2 linked regions of the Alligator mississippiensis genome follow. The protein of the gene in region 1 interacts with the protein of each later gene in a pairwise test. Links are inferred from orthologs where the notes say so. Each region holds a gene or a part of one and is shown on either strand. Other genes may lie near its edges.

Region 1 (10,138 bases):
GGGTTCCCAGTCTTGGGGAGCCACCTCCGGCTCCTGGCTCCTTTTGCTGCAGCCAGCAGCGTCTGTCCCTCAGCGTGCTCTGCAGCATCCTCCCCCGCTGGGAGGGGCAGCTTCCGGCTCCTTTTGCCCCTGTAGGAGCTTCAGGAAGACCTCTTCTACTGGTGCTCCCGCCAGCGTTGATCTGCCCCCTCTGTTCTTGCCGGCAGCCCGTTTTATTTCCGCCGGCCGGCGATTGCGGCTGACATCATTGGCCGGACGCAACTGTATAAAGGCGTGGCTAATAAGCCGTGTGGGTCCCTCCTCAGGCTCCGGCTTCGCCGCGGGTCCCACTGTAGGTAAATATTTCCCTTTTCCTTTTCTTTTACTTTTGTTTCCCTCCGAGGGTTCCTGCCCCTGGGGTTCCTCCCTGGCATTTTGGGGTCCTCCTGTCTGTTCTTCCCTGTGACAGTCAGCTTCACAGTAAATGTCTTGTGTAGACACACCCAGTGTGAATCCTGTTGCTGCAACTAGTTCTTCCATAATACTAATTCTTTCATGACAGTTCTTCCATAAACAGAATTTTCAGCCACACAAATATTTCTCTGCTGCTGGGGGGAGGGGATGATAGCCACATTGCAAATCTGCAGAACCAGCAATAACCACTAACTCTGTAATGATAATATATTTTATTTTTCTTCAAAATAGGGGGAAAAACAAGCATTTCGCTCCTTTACCACTTTTTTCAGGTATATAAGAACATTTATTTCCTGATTATGTCAGCCTAGCTTCCTTGCTGGAGGCTTCAGAATATGGGTCCAGATTACAGGGAAGGAAAATTGGGTAAGTAGAGATGACAATTAGCAGGTAACCGGGACCTTTTTGTGGTTCTAACCCTCTGTGGATGCATAACCCAGAAAATAGGCCAATTTATCCTCCTAGTGTTGGGTAGGTACTGTAAGACTGTGACAGTAGCATAAGGAGGGTTGTGGCAGTGTGATTGTAGCTCTTTCTTTAGCCCTGTGTTGCATGCACAGTGAGCCCCTGGGGTCTGGAACTGTTTAAAATGAGAACTCTGTGCAGACCCCACGCTCACCAGCCAGTGAGATCATAGAACTCATTACACATGTTGGATTTTGGGCAGGAACTGTGTTGACATGCTGTGAGCTCAGAGCACTTACTGGCATCCAGGATCCTGACCAGGGAGGTGCATCCACACCCCATTTGGCTGTATGACACATGTACAATGAGCTCTCTTCACTGTGTGTGCCACATTGCTGAAGGGGTGTGTATGGCTGCACCCCCATTGCTCCGATCCTAGATCTATGGGAGCTCACTCAGTAATCCTTTCTGTAGTTGCATGTCTTTTTCTTGTAGGCCTATTTAAAGCATGCTGTTACTCTGAATAGTGGTTTTATAAGAATGACATTTCACTCAACAGTTTTTTTCTATGTGTATTTACTTGAGTTGGAAAAAAATATACTATTTTACTTTTGTCAGCCTTACAGTACCTACCCAACATGAGGAGGATCAATTGGACTATTTCCTGGGTTATGCATCCACAGAGGGTTAAAACCACAAAAAGAGTGAGGTTTTAAAAAGGTGACTATTTTAACATCTAACTTCTGGGCTGCTAGCTTGCCCAGCAGAACCCACAGCCATGATTAAGTTTCCTGGGGAGAGTTAGGTACCTCATAATGGGATTCACAACAGGTATTATGCAGCGCACATGCTTAACTGGTCAACAATAAATGTTGTTGTCTTCCATCCCTCTAAGCCTGAAGTGCCTAGTGTCAGGCTGCAGAAAAACGCCCAGAGACTTCTCTAGAAATTAGATACCTAAGCCCTTTCTTTCAAAAAAAGAAAACATTCTCTTTTTCTTTTAAAATATGGCTTTTGGAAGAGTTGGTGGTCGGGCTGATGCTCTTGCCTTGTGATCACAGCACTCTTATGAGAAGTAAGATATATGATTTGAACCCTCTCAGGTAGGAGGAAACTGAACCTAGGTCTTCCACGTACTGGGTGCCCACATGAACACTGGCCAAGATTTTGAACAAAAGCTGTGGCCATCACTGCATAGAAACCAATTATGTAGGTGTATGTTAGCAAGTTCAAGAGGGGGCCGGGTCCCTCAGGGATATGGTGAGGGGAGTGCCTAGTTTTTGGATCCCAATGGGTCTAAAAAGTGCAGTGGGGTACTGAGCTGCTCTGTTTGGTTACTAGGTATGAGCAGAATCTGAATTTTAGGTGCCCAGAGAGCTTCAGGGGTGATATGTAGGCATTTGCAGCCATTGCCTATGCCTCTAGATCCTAATGTAGTTTCTCAAGACCTACGTGTGGTATCATTAACATAGATTACAAAGATTACAAAGATTAACAAAGATTACAGTTAGATGCAAAGATAGTTTCTTTATCAATGCTTTGGATATATATATATATATATATATATATATATATATATGTATGTATATATGTGTGTGTGTGTGTGTGTGTACTTCTACACTTCTTGGACTTCTTATATATATGAGGAGTCGCCATGTACTTGTGCACCCCTACACATACACGTCTGCCAGGCAGCCTGGAGAGCAGCTCCCCACAGGTAAGTATGGCGAGGGTGGGGGTGGGGCGATTGAGGCCCCATAAGGATGGAGGGGGGGAGTTGGGCTGGGGCTGGGACTCCTGCCCAGCCTGGGCGATGTGTGGGGCTTGAGGTCTAGGACTGAAACATATGGCTGCAGGGCCTGAGCAGGGAGCGGGACGGGGCCATGAGCAGCTTGTGTGGAAAGTGAGGGCTGGCTCCCTGCTGCTGCTCACACTCCCAGGGGCATGTGCCCCCTCCAGATTTGTCCACAGGGTCAGGGTGGGCTGGTTGCTGCAGTCTTGGGGCTCCCCACCCTGCTGCCTTCCCCCTGGGGGCTCTGCAGCCCAGCAGGCGGGACTTGACACAGCAGGGCAGAGCAGGGCCAGGCAGAGAAGTCGTTGCCACCGCTGGGAGCTCTGTGTTGCCGTGGCAAGGTGCCCCTTGCCTGCCCAGCAGCAGCGAGGGGCACAACTCCTTGCCACCACTCCCGCAGCTGTCAGCGAGGCAGGGGGCATCTCACCAGGGCAGCATGGAGCTTGCAGCAGCAAAAAGCTTCCCTGCCCAGTCATGCTAGGTTCCGCCCACTGGGCAACAGAGACCTTGGGGGAGGGCAGCAAGATGGGGAGCCCTAGGCCCACAGTGGGCAATCTTCATTCACCCCCACCAACAGGCTCTGCTCTGCTCATGCTCTCCTTGGGAGAGGGGAGCTGGGCTCTGCACTCTGCTTTGCTGCAGCAGCTGCTGCCTCCTGCGGGCAGCAGCTGGTTCTTGGGCACTACTGCAGGGGGCTGCAGACCTGGGTCCCTAACCCTGTAGCCCTGGCAGCTGGGGGCCCCCTCTGGCAGGGCTGTGGGAGGTAGGGGGCTGTGGGTGGGGAGTGAGGGGCACCAGCAGGGCTGGGGTGGCTGTGTTTTGGGAGTGAGGGCCCTGGACCTGCATCCTGGTGAGTGAAGGGAGCAGGGGAAGCTCAAGTTTTCCATGATAAAAAAATCCAAAATCAAGTAGCAAAATGTATAGGTACTTAGAATGTATTTTATTATAATGATACAGGCACTGATAGACTTCCAAATTGCTTTAAAATTGTAAATATACCAATAAACCATTGTGTTCAGTTGATACCTATATATATATAGCGGCGTTTCATTTTAATTGCAGATTTCAGGTTGTGGGGGGAGGGTTATTGCAGAGCTTGCAATTTTTAAACAGAGAAAACCAAGATCCCTGCTAATCAGTTTCACCTTTGGTTTCACCTGCTGTAGCCCTGTATTGCAGAAGTAGGACTAAAAAAAGACACAGGGATATTCATACAAAACTTTTAAAGATTAAAATGTTTTTATTCTCTACAAAACTTTATATGGTAACAAAGAATGTATTTTAAGGCCTATTTCCTGAAAATACAAGTGTATACACCAGTGATTCTCAACCAGGATGCTGCACAATATTAGCTCTGTTGGTGTGTTAACCTAGGTTAGGCACAAGATAAACCCAGAAGTTTCAAATAGAAATCCATAGTTTCAAAAACATTCAGATGTGTTTTGGTCTTCCTAAGTTCTTTGTGACAGTAGAACTGTTCTATTATTTTTCTGTACCCAAAAAACCCCAAATAAGTAAAAGCTAAGAGCTGGTATTTTCTTGAATCTAAAAAGGTTTAAAATGGTTGAGAAGCATTGGTATGTACTCTACTTTCTATGTGAATCAGAATCAACACAGGTGCACTATGCCTGTAAAATCAGGGCCTAACCCACCACAGTCCCTTTGAATAGCACTGGCTACTTATTTTACTTCTATTTGTGGGGGCAGGGACAAGAAATGATGCTGGCTGTAGGCTAAGACATAAAGACTGTTTTCATATTGGAATGTAATAGTTTTGGCTGCCTCTTTCTAAATGTAATTTAGGAGAACTGCCTAATCTGCAACCCCAGAAAGAGCAGAGGATCCCCTGGCAGTGCACATCAGGGTGTTGTGCAGTATTCATACAGCATGTGGCCTGTCAGGTGCAGTGGTGACTGCGGTAGGAATCAGCTGGCTAGAGAGACAGTTTCAAGACCCATCATTTCCCAGCCTCTCCCTCCCAACTCTTAGGCTCACCAAGAAGCTGTCTGGGAATGAAGAGCTGGCTGCTGGCTCTGAAAGGTCTGAGGCTTTGATCACAAACGTGGTGATCATCGGTGTCCTGCAGCCACAGATCTCTACTTCCATTAACCAAGCTCCCCAACCAAAGGAAGCCTGATGAAGGGTGCTTGTGCCCGAAAACTTGCAATTAAAGAATTTTTTTTGCAAATATCTTGTTGATCTAATCATGAATGTTGCATGCCTCCTGAGGCCAGGGAGGGCGTGGCAACCTCCTGCAGGCGGCCATGGTAGTGGTGGTGTCGGTGGCAAGTGGGGAGCTTCTGTAGGTGGTTGCGGCAGTGTTTGTGGAGGGCTGGCCAGCTCTGATAGTGACCACCCGCAGACACAGCTGGCAGCGTCCGTGGCCAGTGGCGATTGCCCACAGACGCCACCAGCGGTGGCGGAGGCGGGTGGGGAGGTGTTAGCAGTGACTGCCTGCAGGAGCCGCCGGCAGCGTTAGCAGTGGCCAACCTCAGGGGGTGCACATGTACCCGTGTGCACCCCCTACGCGTCGCCAATAGGTCTAATAAAAGATATCACTTGTGTTCACGAGCCCTGGTGGCTTTTTCCAACCAAAGGAAGACACAAATCCCAGCAGCCCTCCTTGTCCAGGAGAAAAGCTTGTAAGAAAGGATGCCTCGGGGTTGAAACAACAACAAAAAAACCAAACAACCTCCCCCCCATCGAAAAGGAAACTCACCCCCAACCTTCCTGCTTTTTATCGCCGTTTCCCAACTTTGGGAGCTGAATACTTAGGGAAGCCTGAGGGGAAGAGGCATGGCCGGCACAGGCAGCCTCTTAGGCAGGAGGCTGGAGTGAGGGGATCGGACCCGCCCGGCACCCTGTCAAACGTGCGGCCCAGCCGGGGGCGGTCTCTAGCGGGAGGGAGCGGGGACCGAGGCGCGCCAGGAAGAGCCGCGCCAGCAGGACGAGCCGGGAGCCGCTGCCGCTGCCGCTGCCGCTGCTCAGGTAGCGACCGCCCCGCCCCGGGCCTCTCCCGCGCCCCGCCCCGGGCAGCCGGGCGCCGAGCGCAGGCCAGAAGGGGGCGCAGCGGGCCCCACGCAGCTGCGGGCGGAGCCGTGCGAGCGCCGAGGGGCCCCGCGCCGCCGCCGCCCGCCTGTCCCGGAGCAGCCGCGTTGTGGCGCCGAGCGGCCGGGCCGCGCCGGGCCATGGCTGCGCCAACCCACGACCAGGTGAGGGGCTCGGAGCAGGCCGGGCCGGGCCGGGCCGCACAGGGCCCCTCTCGCTTCCCGCCGAGCGCGGCCTGCAGCGGCTTTGGCGCCAATCGCAGCCCCGCTCCCGCGCGCCCGCCTCGCTGCTCGCGACGTGCAGCGCGGCCGGGTCCTGCCCTGCCCTGGCCCCCGGGCCGCCTCTCCTCAGCTGCCGGCTGCTTGCAGGGGCTCGCGGGCGGGGAGGTGGTCGCTACTGCTGCTTGGTGCTAAAGTGCTGTCCCGCTGATGGGCCGCGGTTTATCCTCACGCGCCCGCCTCCTTCCTTCCTTCCTTTCTCCCGCCGGGCAAAAACTGCAGGAAGTTTTTCCTCAGAAGTTTGAAAGTCCGCCTCCGCCTCCGTGTGCTGTGGCCTGGAGCTGTGCGGGCAGGAGGCAGCTTTTCCTCCCCTTCGGGACAGTCCGGTCTCGCTTCTGCCCGGACATAGTGTGTCTATTTGACATTTAAATACAGATATATTCGGTTTGAGTCTTTTTTTGGACACCTCAGATTTGAACTAAAAGCCAGTGTCCTTCTGGCGCGCAACTCTGCAGCTTGAGTGGCTGGCAAAGGAAATGTGGCAGCAGCCATGCTCCACCCCCTCCATCCTGCTGCCTGCTCAACATGCTGCGAAAATCGGGGGGAAAAAATCAAACCCAGGGGTTTTAGTGCTACGTTTAAACGTACACTCTTGCATGTCAAAAGGTAAAACGTTCTCCCCCCATCACACCCATGGTACTGATGTGAGCTCAGGGCCTGCAGCTAAACGTGAGGCATTTAACTCGTGGTGAAGCGCCCTTCCTCGAACTTCTGTGCCGAATGTCGTTGGGGAAGATGGTGTTACTGCCCCTTACACTTTGCCTCTCAATGCAGTGGTCAAGAGGGTGCAAAAGGACTTCCATTGTAATTTGGATTTGGTAAAAGCAGGCTGCTGCAGTAGATGCTATCATGGTTTTAACAAATCCAGAGATGCTGGGTAGAAGTTACCTGAGTCACTGCTTTGCAAAAGGCCATCTTTTGAAAAGAGGTTCTGGAAGGCTCAACTTGTAAAACTTTTAATAGTAATAATAATTCTCTTCTTCTGTCTCTTCTCACTCATGGACAAGGTGTTAGTTTGGACCCAGGTTCTGCAGACACCTGTAACTTCAAGTCTCTGTAAACGCTGGGAGAATTGAGGCCTTGGGAATGGGTGTGTAGGTTCAGTTTTACATTTCTGAGCAAGGCTGTTGAGCTTCACTTGCTTCAGATGTCAGTGAGGCTACTCAGGCGTGCAAAGTTACTTGTTTAAGTGTTTGCAGAATCGGCACCTCCTTGAAGCATTGTTGCAGGATTGTACCCTCGTGTCATCACACCAGTCAGAGCTAGTTGTAGTGGCTCTAATTTAAGTTATGGGGAAGGTAGATTTACGCGGTTTGCAGTTGAACACAGAGTAGTGCCCTTTTATGGAACATTTCAGAAAATAGTACGTTGACTTGCATGCTTATTGAAGCCTGGTGAACAACTCTGTGTCTGGTTCTGCCATAGCACTATAACCATCTCTGTCTATAAAGTAACATAGCAGTATTACTAGGGATGCTGTGAGGCTATTAGTGGTTGCAAATAATTTTGAGATGTTTTGGCCAAAAACGTTTAATGTAAGTGCAAAGTATTTACAATGCCTGGTGTTACACGGGGGGAGCATTTTTACCTGAAGGAAAGCATTTTTTTCTATAAAATTAAAACCCAATACATAAATGTAGACTTTCAAGGGGAAGTGAAAGGGAGAGAGAATAGCTATCTTTTCTAATCTTCCTCTTCTTTCTCATAGGAGTTCTTGGGGGGGGTTGATGGGAGCAAAAGAGACTGCAGTTCTGCCCTCTGTCTTGTGTATTCCTTCTTTCTGTAGAGCTGATAGCAATGTGTTTATTTCCTGCTGAGCCTCATGGAGCCATACCTTCAGGATTTTAAATGTATGCCAGGGCTTCCTTGTCTTCAGGTGCAAAGTTTGGTAAGATATTCATGACGTACTGCGGACAATTACTAGCCAAGTAGAGAATAATAAACTACTTTAGTCACAATACGTACTTGGTTTTCTAGGTGTTTCGGTTGGCAGACAATATAATTTATGCACTCTTTGAAGAAGATAGGAATATGTTGGTCCAGTCCCAGTTCTATAGACGTCTTCAGGGTAAAATTGGAGTTGTATAAAATAAATGTTGCTCTTTACATGTACTTCACGTATGGGGGCCTGGTATGAATGTCAGGTATGGCAGAAATCCAGGCATTTTAAGTTTTAAAACTGGCATTTACTAATTAACTGAAATTTTGTCACAAAAAGGCAGCCATAAAATCCTAAGGTTCCAGGTCTGCAAGTGATTTTATGCAGATAAACCCATGTGCTTGCATGAAACTGTTCAAGTCAGTAATTCAGCAGTCACCTGCACAGCTTATGTTGAAGTTGTTTCTGTACTACAGTAGTTTATATGGCGGCAAACTCAGGATGCAGTGGCATCATACATGTATGCTGTTTGGAAAACCAAGATTCAGGAGTAGGTCAGAGATCTCAAATAAGACAGAAGTGGTCTTAATTCAGGCAAAATCATCTAAGTAACTAGGTGCAGCAATAGCTAGTTAGGGCAGGTAGAGCAGTTAAGGTATTTGTTTATATATCTAGAGGTATGAGAGGGTTTTTCCCTTTTGGTACGGCATCTGTGAATGAAATTCCCTTCTTCATATACATTCAGATAGTGCTGGACATGCCAATAGATTTACTTGGACCACCCTGAATTATGATTTTAAATGAATTTACTTTGCCTGAACATTTCCTTCAGTCAGGATTATTTGGTTCGACTAACACAAACACATTCTGTGAGGGAAGCTAGGGTTTGAATTCAGCATCCGCTGTCTGCTTCATGGTAACTGCCTGCTGTGATAATTGAGAGTCAGGCTACCTTGGCTTTACCTTAGGGTCACAGCATCCATGTAGGAAGTTATGGAGGAGCAGCTAATGGACTATAAGTTCACACCCTGGCTTACTTCACTGTAATTTTTATGTGTTTTTCTGTGTTCAGGCCCTAAAACAATGGAGGCTTTGGTTCACCTGGTATAAGAGTGTCCACACACAGATTTGCAGAGGTTGTTGAACACCATAAAAATTAATAGCATCTTCCTAGATATGCCAGTTTAAATAAAAGAACATCTTGTTAATTTTTAAATGCAGTACACCCTCATTATAATAAATCTTGTTCATAACAACAAGCTGTTTCTTTTAACAATCCCACCAGCAGGAACTGATAACTTTTCCCATTATTATGGCATAACCCTAGTAGAGTAAACACCCTTTTTAAAATGCCCTGTCTTCCTGGTTGGTTGTGAGGTTGTACTGTAAATGCACCAAGAATAGATTCAGGCTCAGCTCTTTAGTTCTCCGTCCCAGATTTTGTATTTGGGTTTCTTGGGGATTTGTTTTGTTTTGATTTGAATTCCTGGTGTCTAAAGGTCCTAAACAAACAAGGAAACAGAATGAATTTACAGGAAAAACAGTGAAATTGACTGTTTACTGTATCAAAAACTACAAAAATAGAGAAGAGGTTGCTTTCAATGATATAATAGCCATCTTTTTGTGTGGAAGAGCATGCTGTCACAGGTAGCATATGGCTGATACTGATTTATTAAAACTTTTTAAATGTAACTTGCATATGTATTTAATAAAACAGGTTGACTATATATTATTTTTCAAGATTTCCACTGAATAGAGCTCAGTTGTAAACAAATGTATATCTCTTTAAATGGTCCAGCCCTTCATAATGGAGCTGCAGAATTGTAAGCCATATTTCATTTTGTCTTTCTCACATTGGCCAAGCTGACTATTAAATTCTTACCTCAGAATTTTTACTATTGATGAAGCAAAATTGGAGCCCACTTGGGTACGTGGTTCATTTTTATTTGCTTGTCAAGGCAAGTGTAGTATGTAAGGATCATAGTAAGAAAAATCTTGTTTTGACTTGTTGAGGCACCAGATGTCATCTATTTTCTCCATCAGTCATATATTGAATACTAAGATGTCACTAAAATTATGAGTTTTCTTACTTTTGATGTAGTTTTAACTCCCCTCCCCCCCTTAACCTGGGGGGGATGTTAAAATCCCCCATTTCCCCTTTTGTTATTCACAAGCTTCCTTTACTATAGGATCAAAAAGATTTGCATGATTACAAACAAGCCATATTCTCTCAGTTACACCAATGCAATGCTATTAATTCCATTGTGTGTGTGTTTCATCTAC
Region 2 (10,798 bases), on another chromosome or scaffold:
TGTGAAAAGGGAGAAGAGGAGACAACAGCGCAGCCCTCCCGCGAGAGGCTGAACACAAAAGGATATCGGTGTTGTCGTGGCCCAGAAGCCCCAGGAGGGACTGCACAGCATTCAGCTCCACCAGCAGGTGATACAGGTCTGGCATGGTCGCAATCACATGCATTTCCTGAATGATGTCATTTAAATCCAGTTCAGACTCCATAAACCTGCAGACAGAGGCACAGCACAATTCATTAGCAGAAAAACAGGCAAAAAGCACACGGATGGGCTTCCCAGGAGGACAAAGCATTTGCACTAGCCCCCCACAAAGAGCCATTCACCCAGGCACAATGCCGGCGCATCACTTCCAACCAGCTCTGCTCACGCTGTCACAAGGCCAGTCGCTGGATCCAGATCTCACTGCAAATGCTCTGAGGGGCCTGTGCAATCCAATTCTTAGCCCCACAAGAATTTTAGGAGACTGCTCCCTATCCCATCTCGCTAGTTATATATTTTAGTTTAAGGAAAAAAAAAAAAGCATACAGGATAGGTGCAGCTGCTCGGCAAGACTGACAGCAAGGACCCTGCATAAACGAGTAATGGGGTTGAACTCTCCATCTCAACAGAACTGCGTTTCACAAGACATCTAATGCCAAGGTCTCCAGAGAGAGCTCTTTTCCCGATTTGCCTTGTATGTATTAGTACATCGGTTCTTTTAGCCCCCAACAAAGCATGTAAAGAGGATATGAGTGCTTGAGGCAGAGAGACCAAAAACCCCAGACAGAGACCCCATTAGGGAAAATCACTTTCAGCAGTATCTGCCTTTCAGAGAAGACTGTCTTTTGGGCATCTGACAGTGCGCTTCACCAGTGGGAGAAAGGACCGTGCCAGAGAGCAGGCAGCAACGTGGTACCAAGCACCAGCACCCTGCATCAGGACTATAGCCAACTGAGAAGGGGCCACAGGCTTTGTCTGCCACATCAGAATACATCTTTGGCTTCACACCAGCCAAACTCCTCTTCCCCACCACCATGGAAGAGGACACAACAGCAGCAACTGGCACAATTCAAATATGCCAAGAAATGGCAGGTGAGGAATGGGTGCTGCCACTGCAGCGGAAAGATCCCAGCACAAGAGCTCCCAAAAACCTGCAGTGTTCAAAATACTGCAGGTCTGGGGACACACTTCTGGGGGAACCTGTGGTTAGCTGATCTGACCCTCCCGTTCTGCCGAGTGCAGCGAGTGCTGGCAGTTCCCACAATGCGAGGCAGGATTCCCTCCACGTGCAAATGTCAGCTGCACGGAGAAGAAAGGAAGGGGCAAATTACTGCATCAAAACACGATGGAGAATTTATTCGTTTGGAAAATAACGCCCTCAAATTCACTCTCAAATTTTCACCCTCCAAAACACTTGCCATATGCACTGACAGAGTAAAACCCTCCTTGCATGTGGTGATAAGTCAAAGTGATGGGTCATTGGAGGGAGACAGCATCATGGGCAAAACAGAGAGGAAAGAGGTAACAATGAAGAGAAATGGAAGACAAGAAATGCAAGATCCAAAGGAAAACAATGCTATGACTGTACAAGGAGCAACAGTCTCAAGTAGCAGCAAGGCAAGTTTTAGGAAAAACTCTCACGAGGAGGGTGGTGAAGCACTGGAAGGGGTTACCCAGAGGTGGTGCAGTCTCCACCCTTGGAGGTGTTTAAGACACAGCTAGACAAAGCCCTGGCTGGGATGATGTAGTTGGGGCTGGTCCTGCTTGGAGCAGGGGGAGGTCACGACTAGTCCAACTGAGGTCCCTTCCACCCTCCTTGTCTGTGATTCTACGATGGGAACACTTTATAGAGGGAGAGTTGCAGCAGACGGACAATGACTTGTAGGAAAGCAGTGGAGACTAATGTAAAGGACAAGTAGAAGGAGGGGAAGCAAGGGAAACAGTATATTTTACAGAAAGTTTGCTTTATCCAATCATTTGAAAGTTGGCCAGCAGAAGGCCTGCACAGTTTTAGAGAAGGTAACAAATCTGTCACCATCCTGGTAGCAAACAAGGCCAGGACACCTCCTGACCTGGGAGCAGCTGAGCAGGTGGCACTTCTGCAATCAGGCCTCACAGTCAGATGTCTAAGAAAGGCCTGAGGAGACCACTCTAAGCTCCCACTTTTTTTGAATCTGAGCCCCCACAACAGATAAACAACAGACAATACATTTTAGATTATTAAAACATCTATCACAATTTTAAAGCATCATGAACACAGCAAGGAAATCAATATAGTTTTAAATAAAACAGAACTGCCTTCCCAATTCCTTGCTATTTTCCTTTTTGGGCTGCAATTGCCAATGATGGCTTTTGGCAGCGCACCTGCTACTAGAAGCACTCTCCGGAATACTCATTTTTTTAAATTAAATTATCTTTAATATTTCAAATAAAGTTTATGAGTAATATCTGGTTAAGTGCCTTTACTCCCGTGAACCTTCCTCCCACTAAAAGGGATAAGATCTCTACAGTTCAGAAAGGCTGAGGCTGGAGAGAAGGGGCAAGCAGCTAGGCAGAGGAACCGAGTAGGGCCTTACTTCTCTGGGTTGTCTGGGAATTTGATCCGCAGCTCTTGGTTTTTGTAAGACCTCTTCTCAAAAGTAAGAATCATCTTCTTCACTGAGCTTTCATCCAGTGGTTCCTCCTAGTCAAGGGGGAAAAAAAAAACCTCAGAGCTTAATCCTTCAAAGATGGCTACAAGAGCCACCTGGCAAGACACAAGAGAGTAATGAGCAGAGCATGCTGGCTGGGGCCAGCCTGGGCCCAGATCAAGACACGATACAGCAATGTAATGAATAACAGGTCCTGGAGGAAGCTCTGTGGAAGTCTCGCTGGAGAACATTTTCAGATTAAAAAGTCAAGTTAGCGAGATATGTTTCCACGAGGCCCGTGTATACGTGAGAGCATCTGCTCCGCACCTGAAACGTTTCCTAGCGGCACTGATGTGAACTGCGGTCCAAGGAAGTGACCTTGAAGGTCTGGCACGACCAGGTACAGCAGAGGCAGGCTGCCTGGAGGGGGCCACTCTTGGCAGAGAGGAGCAGGGCACTCGCACACCCTGCCGCAAAGACTCTCCGATCCTAGGCAGTCAACTGGGCATTTGCTTCTGTCCATTCATCCTCAGTCTCAAATGCTAGGGAAATCCTGCATTATCTGTCTCAGGCATCAGCAGCAGCAGCAGCAGCAATAGCTCAACATCAGAAACTAAAGGGAGATTTCAGGGAGATGAATGCTGGCAATGCTGCACACGAAGGACAATGATATTTTACAAACCCACGTGACTGCAGCAGTGAATATCACTTGCTTTCCATCAAACAGGACAGAGGTAGCAGGAAGCAAATATCTCCAGGATTCATAGCAATCTGCACGTCACATTTATAAAGTGATCTTTTCCTTGCCCTTTGGCAGAAGGGCCTGTCCTGTATCGGATTCCTGTCTCCTGGGCTTGAAATCATTTACCCTTGACAGCTGCTACCCCACTCCGCTGACCCAAGCCCTTTCGTCTGTAGAAGGATGTTTGCTCATTTGCTGCTGCTGCTGCTGCAGACCTCGCGAGGGGAGGGCGGCTGAAGCCGTGTGGCTGTGAGTACTGACGAGAGTAATGGATTTAGAAAACTAATTAGAAGCCTGAGGCTTTTTCCCCCTCAGAAATTTGAGAAGAGTCAAGCTGTTTCAGCCTAAAACAGATATTATTTGCAAAAGTTCCCTCCACACCTGCACAGAAGTATTTTTAGCTCTCCCCTCCCTTCCAGAGAAGCCAGCTTTGGATTCAGACAACTCTACAGCACCTTCTTCTTCCCTTTAAAGTCCCAGGGTGAAAACCCCTCTGCTTTGAACAGACACTGCTGCCTTTGGCAGACAACCCCTCCCTGCAGAGCATTGGCAACCAACCTCCTCCTCCTCCTCCTCTCCCTCTTTGTCCATTATCTGAAGGAGTTTCTTCTTCTCATCGTCAGCTTCCTCCAAAGCCGCGACATCCTCCTCCCGATGCCGAGTGCGCTCCCGCGAGCCGACTTGCTTCCGCCGGGCTTTGATCTCCTCCTCTTCCTCGTCGCGGGGTCTTTTTGTCCCCCTGTTGGGCTAAGGTGAGAGAAAAAGCATGTGGGAACAGAGTGAGCGAATCGAGAAGGTTTGCCCCCGGGGGTGGCTTGCATCCCGATGACAGAGCTTGTTTGTTTTGCACGCAGCTGATCAGAATTGCAGATCTGCCTACTATACATTCACCCGCTTGGAAAACTGGAAGGGGAATTAATTCAATTCACAGAACTAGATGAATGGCACCGGCAGGAGCTGTGACAATGTCCTACCTGCTTTGACCCTCCAACAACAACCACAGCAAATATCTGCATCATGAAAAAAGCCGCCGGTACTTCAAATCTGAGCGCTGGCCAGAGCAACCCGACCCTGGGGTTGTGAAGCAAACTGATTGCAAGTCCTTGGTTCCCAGAGGCGATCTCTCATGAGCCAATTCCCATGTACCTTCATGTTTTACAGGTAAAGGCCAATTCATTAAAGTGTCCAGTGCTGCACACACACCCCACAGCTCTCCCGGCTCAGACCCAATTCTTCTGTGTACCCTAATACCACCCCCACAAAGACCAGGGGAGTCTGGGGACACAACGAATGCAGAATAGGCCCTGCATCCGCACACCCAGCGCGGTACTGTTATTCGGTGCAGCTCTGCAGAAGATGGACCCCCCATCCTAGGCAGAACATGTGCACACTAGGGGTTGCTTGCGATTGCTTGTTTTCATCCACCGTTTGTAGTCACGAGGCAAAATTAAAGATTAAAGATAACCTGCCAAGAACAAGAAAGAACATGCGCTCCTTCCTCATTTAAGGTGCATCTGGAAAGCCCCAAAGGGCTTGTTGTTGGGACTTCTCGCCTTGGCAAAAAGAGAAATATTAAAATGAATCTCCCGTCTTTTGCAGGACAAGGAAATGGGAATAAAACCTCTCCACTTTATGCTGAAGAACCGCAGCAGGTTCTGCTCCTAATTGTTTTAACTGGTGTCCGGCATTAACAAAAAATGGCTTTTAAAGGGAAGCAAAAATCCCTTCCCCGTCCAGCTGCTCTAGTGCAGGTTGCACGGACTAAGGAAACAAACACCCTGCGAGTTCGTCACTCAGCCACGATCTTTCATGCTGAGCGGAGGAGGAAAAGCCTAACGTTTTATTAAACCACAGCAAGCTAACATCTGCTCTCAATGCCCCCCCACCCCCCGGTCTTCGTCAGCCATCCAAAGGCACAGCGAGGAAGGCGCAGATCTGCTTTGCAGGTCGTTATCTGCCACCTCGAACGTCACATGCCACTTCCAAGAACATGGCAGCTGCTGCCGCGCTGCAAGCCCGACTCTTCTGGAATCACAAATCATCAGCGGCGGAGAGGGAAGGGGCGAGAGCACTGCTCCTGCCAGGTCCCCAGAGCGCGCTGGCTTCAAAGCAGGCCCCTGCAGCTCCCCAGCCGGCGAGGAGCTCCAGCCCCCGGGGAGGGGACGCTCATTCTTCCCGGCTCAGAAGGCAAGACCTGCTGAGACTCCGATTAGAAGGAGCGCGCCACCACAGACCAGCTCAGAGGCAAAGCCAGGGAGCAGCTCATTTCTTTTCATTCGGTCCTGTATATACACCGTGACAGACAAGTCAGTGCGAGCGCGCCTGCCGACACAGCGCACACGTGGGCACTGGAGCAGGCCTGCGCAGGAGCCAGCTTTGCTTTTTAGATGGACATAAAAGCAGCCCAACTAGGGGCCGCTTTAGACTGCACTGGTTTAAACTAAACCGGTTTAAACTAAACCGGTTTAGTTTAAACCAGTGCAAACTGCACTGCTTGGATGGGCTGCAAAATCCGGGTTGGCAGAGCTTCAACGTGAGAGACGGCAGGACGGTGCTGGCAAGCGCTAAGCCCTGGTGTCCTGCCAGCTGTGTTCGGCACGCTACTCAACGCTATAGTCCCCCGCCGCTCTGCCTGCAGCCAGCGTCGCCCCGCAGCCCACGGGCCGCGTGACACGCCAGGTTCAGAGCCGAGGTTCCCTCCGTCCCCATCAGCATGTCAACAGCTGCTGAAGTGACAAACACGTGTACGCCGCTGTAGACCATTTTGGCATCTGCAGGACTGGATGCTATTTATTTTTTTAATTTAAAAAGCAAAAAAACCAAAAAAGCATGCCCTTACACGTCTTCAGGGCACGGTAACGGCTTACAGCGCCGCACGGATCAACTTAGGAACAACATATTGTCTCCAGCAGACAGTAATTTGAACACTCCCCTAGCAATTAGCAACACTCAGCGTAAAACCAAAATAAAGATGCTCTTCTCGCTAACACCACCGCAGGGAGAAGCCGAGGTAAACAGATGTGCCAAGCACAAGCCCTAAATAGTCGCCCCCGGTGCTGTCCCACACAGAGGGAAGCAGACCGATTCAACCGCCCCCTTCGCCCCCAGGTTAAAGGGCAGAGCACCTCCACTCATTCACACCAGCCCGGCAAGTGATTTCCAGGGATCCTCTGATTTTAAAAAATCCCCAATTTCTGGCTTTGAAAAAAAGGAATGCCAAACCCGCATTTTTCCATGATTAAAATGAAACACTACTATATAGCTAGATCAATATATTAGTGGCGTTTCATTTTAATCATGGAAAAATGTGAATTTGGGGTTACCTTTTTTAAAAAAAATGAAAATTGGGGATTTTTTAAGTCAGAGAAAACCAGGATCCCTGGTGATTTCCATTGGAAATTGGGCCTGACTTCTAGAGCCCTGGAAGAGTTTGAGAAAAGACAGCTTTTGCTTCGTATGCCCCCCTGTATGTCTGACCCCAGACTTCAGGCTCTCATTTCTCTGCGCCTCATTTTTTTAAATTAAAAAAGCAACGAGACTGTGGCTGCAATGATGGGCTACGGCAGCCCGCGCTTTGTCAGATGCGAAGTAATGTACCATAGGAAGAAACCACCCCACCAGAACAAATTCTAAATTAAAACTCCACCAGGAAACCAACTCCATTTCCTCTGAGCGTGCAATCTATATTATCAGCATTTACAATCTGCTTCAACCTCAATTATATTATCTTTTTTTGGGGGGAGGGAGGAGGGAAATAGGAATACATCTATAATATGTAATAAGAGTCATTATGATAAATTATGAAACCGCCTGGAGTGTAATTATTAATGCTGCCAACGTATTTGCAACAGCACATAATTGAATTCCCAGACAAACTTTGTTAAACAGGAGTTAAGGTTTAGCACAGCATCAGTTACTGAAGGGGGGCAACGTCTCGCTAAGCACACTGCGGTTATAAAAGGAGCAATAATAAAATCCAAGAAATCCAGAGCTGAAGTAAAATGCCTGGAGTTCTGCTCATTTAAAAGTATGAAGATGCAGAGTTGCAGCAGATTGATTGAGATCAGCAAGCCTTTATTTCAATTATTGATCTCAATCTCATTTTGCATTTGTCGTTTTCAGCTATTTTCTTAAAGAAAGGTTGATTCTTGCCAGCTGGTAACTGGTCACATGTTTCCAATTACAGATAGGCTTTATACTAAAATCGGTACTTTTGCTGACCGGGAACATGATATCTGTTTAAGCCATTATCCATCTTAACAAACATTTATGCAGTGCTAAATATTGCACCTTTTACAACACCACTCACGTGGTAAATAAAGGCTTTACTTCCTACAGAATGTTCTTTTTTTTAAACTCATGAATTGTGATATGCTGCATTTAGATGGAAATTTAATTACAAATACACAGGAACAAGAGTTTAAAACTGTTTATTCAGTTAAAAATCATAGCACGTGCTGCTTTATTAAAACATGTTTTTCATGTCAACGTATTAAGTGATTTGCTCGGAGGGTTTATGCTCGCAGTCTCTGCCAAGAGGTTAGAATTAGTGTCCTGTATATTTAGAAACCCCCTCCCCTCCCTCGACAAATCGGAAGAAGAAAACCAGCTTTCCTGCTGCTACCTCCCAGTCTGCAACTGAGCTGGCCCCAGAGCAGAACTGGCTCAAGAGCGGTGGAGACGAGGAGGCAGATCACTCCAAACAGCGACGTCTTCCCCAACAGCAGTCCGACTTCCTTGAAACTTCAACCCAAGCTCTCAACACTTGCACTTTTAAAATTTAACTGAAATTCTTTTCCCCGGATTGAAATTTCCTCGTAGGAAATTTAGGCTTCACTGTAGATAAGCAATTTCAAATTTAAATTTTAACAATAGTTTGTTTTAAAAAATGTGTTTCAGTGAAAAATCAGGTTTTTCTAAAGCAGACCTTTGTCTGCTCTGTGCACAGTTATGATGCCCAGAGGATGGCGCCTCTGCCCGTGTAGCTGACATTCAACCTTCGCAATATATTATGGTTGCTCTCAAAACCGCGCAGGTCTGCTTTTTTCATAGATTCATAGATGTTAGGGTCGGAAGGGACCTCAATAGATCATCGAGTCTGACCCCCTGCATAGGCAGGAAAGAGTGCTGAGTCTAGATGACCCCAGCTAGATGCGAATCTAACCTCCTCTTGAAGACCCCCAGGGGAGGGGAGAGCACCACCTCCCTTGGGAGCCCGTTCCAGACCTTGGCCACTCGAACTGTGAAGAAGTTCTTCCTAATGTCCAGTCTAAATCTGCTCTCTGCTAGCTTGTGGCCATTGTTTCTTGTAACCCCCGGGGGCGCCTTGGTGAATAAAACCTCACCAATTCCCTTCTGTGCTCCCGTGATGAACTTATAGGGAGCCACAAGGTCGCCTCTCAACCTGCTCTTGCGGAGGCTGAAAAGGTCCAGTTTCTCTAGTCTCTCCTCGTAGGGCTTGGTCTGCAGGCCCTTAACCATAGGAGTGGCCCTTCTCTGGACCCTCTCCAGGTTATCCGCATCCTTCTTGAAGTGTGGCGCCCAGAATTGCACGCAGTACTCCAACTGCGGTCTGACCAGCGCCCGATAGAGGGGAAGTATCACCTCCCTGGACCTATTTGTCATGCATCTGCTGATGCACGATAAAGTGCCATTGGCTTTTCTGATGGCTTCATCACGCTGCCGACTCATGTTCATCTTGGAGTCCACTAGGACTCCAAGATCCCTTTCCACTTCCGTGCCACCCAGCAGGTCATTCCCTAGGCTGTAGGTGTGCTGGACATTTTTCCTCCCTAGGTGCAGCACTTTGCATTTCTCCTTGTTGAACTGCATCCTGTTGTTTTCTGCTCACTTGTCCAACCTATCCAGGTCTGCCTGCAGCTGTTCTCTGCCCTCCGGCGTGTCCACTTCTCCCCATAGCTTTGTGTCATCTGCAAACTTGGACAGAGTACATTTGACTCCCTCGTCCAAGTCGCTGATGAAGACATTAAAGAGTATCGGTCCAAGGACCGAGCCCTGCGGGACCCCACTGCCCACACCCTTCCAGGTCGAGACCGACCCATCCACCACGACTCTTTGGGTGCGGCCCTCTAGCCAATTCGCCACCCACCGGACTGTGCAGTCATCCCAGTCACAGCCTCTTAACTTGTTCACCAGTATGGGGTGGGATACCGTATCGAAGGCCTTCCTGAAGTCTAAGTATACGACATTCACCCCTCCTTCTGTGTCCAGGCGTTTCGTAACCTGGTCATAGAAAGAGACTAGGTTGGTCAGGCACGATCTGCCCGCCACAAACCCATGCTGGTTTCCCCTCAGCATAACTTGTCCTGCCGGGCTCTCACAAATGTGAGCCTTGATAATTTTTTCAAAGACTTTACCAAGGATGGAGGTGAGACTGACTGGCCTATAGTTGCCCGGGTCCTCCTTCCTCCCCTTTTTGAAAATGGGGACCACGTTAGCCCTTTTCCAGTCCTCCGGGACTTGGCCCGTGCGCCTTAAATGCATCTTAAAAGCTTTTCCAACCAGGAGATCTTGTAACACCCTCTGCTCTCCTGTGAAGTATGAATTTTCATTTCCGCCTAGGAAAAATTTTACAATTTTTGTATTCTCCTATGCCTGAGGAAGGGCGAGCATGACCAAAAGCTTACAAATAAAGACTTTTTTTGCAAATATCTAGTTGGTGTAATAAAAGATATCACCTCTGCCACAAGTTCTGATTCTTAAAAGCTGGGCATAAGACCAACAGCAGGGAGAACACTGCTCTGCACAAGCCTTGAATGGCACAGGGTACTGGGATACGTGGGGAGCAGCAAGACTATCCTTAATCCCAAAAACAGGGATTAAGAGCCTAGGTTAAAATTAAACACCTGTGTGATCCTAGATGTGTTCATTTCTGCAGTCCTACACTGCAATGTCGCTCTTAGGAGGTGATAAAGGGAACTACGGGGAATCTTAATGTCCATGTTGTTGCAAACCTATTTACCGTTTGCAGTCCCTCCGCCAGGTTGCACCCGCCAGGCTGGGCAGTGTCCAGGCAGGTGGCAAACCACACGGCCTAACCGTGGGAAATGAAGGAACCTCTCGGGCTGGTTCCCGGTCCCCTGCCCTCTTACAAGTAAGCACGCTCACAATACTTCCTGCATCTTTTCTTCCCAGAGTTTTTTGTAGGGCTGTCCCTGTGCCCTACAGTGCACAGTGTATGCACTGACTGCATAGGCTTTCAGTGAAAGTTTGGCTTACACTGGAGCAGTGGCACTGAATGCACTTTTAGGGCTGACATCTGCCTGGGTCTCCTTGCAGATGTGCGTTTCGGCATAACATTTTCCTGTTTTTTTCTAAAGCTTGTCTTTCCCTGGCCCTACCTGAAAGACCCACAAAAAGACAAGGAAGAGCCAACATGGAAATAAAACAGTGAAATCAAACGCACACAAAAATAAAGGAACAGGGTGAT

Evidence for each region.
Region 2: the proteins of CDCA7L (region 1) and CTNNBL1 interact in binary tests that used the Homo sapiens proteins (3 or more experiments, as listed by UniProt). The link is inferred for Alligator mississippiensis from reciprocal best matches to the Homo sapiens genes CDCA7L and CTNNBL1.

The regions. Positions count from the first base shown.
Region 1 is NC_081828.1:159,782,925-159,793,062, forward strand, and holds the start of CDCA7L (cell division cycle-associated 7-like protein), read left to right. Parts: upstream 1-5,708; 5' UTR 5,709-5,838; coding exon 5,839-5,862; intron 5,863-10,138. UniProt on the Homo sapiens protein: Plays a role in transcriptional regulation as a repressor that inhibits monoamine oxidase A (MAOA) activity and gene expression by binding to the promoter.
Region 2 is NC_081832.1:818,675-829,472, reverse strand, and holds the start of CTNNBL1 (beta-catenin-like protein 1), read right to left. Parts: upstream 4,380-10,798; 5' UTR 4,368-4,379; coding exon 4,323-4,367; exon of another isoform or gene 4,203-4,322; intron 4,101-4,202; exon of another isoform or gene 4,096-4,100; coding exon 3,907-4,095; intron 2,660-3,906; coding exon 2,553-2,659; intron 207-2,552; coding exon 67-206; intron 1-66. UniProt on the Homo sapiens protein: Component of the PRP19-CDC5L complex that forms an integral part of the spliceosome and is required for activating pre-mRNA splicing.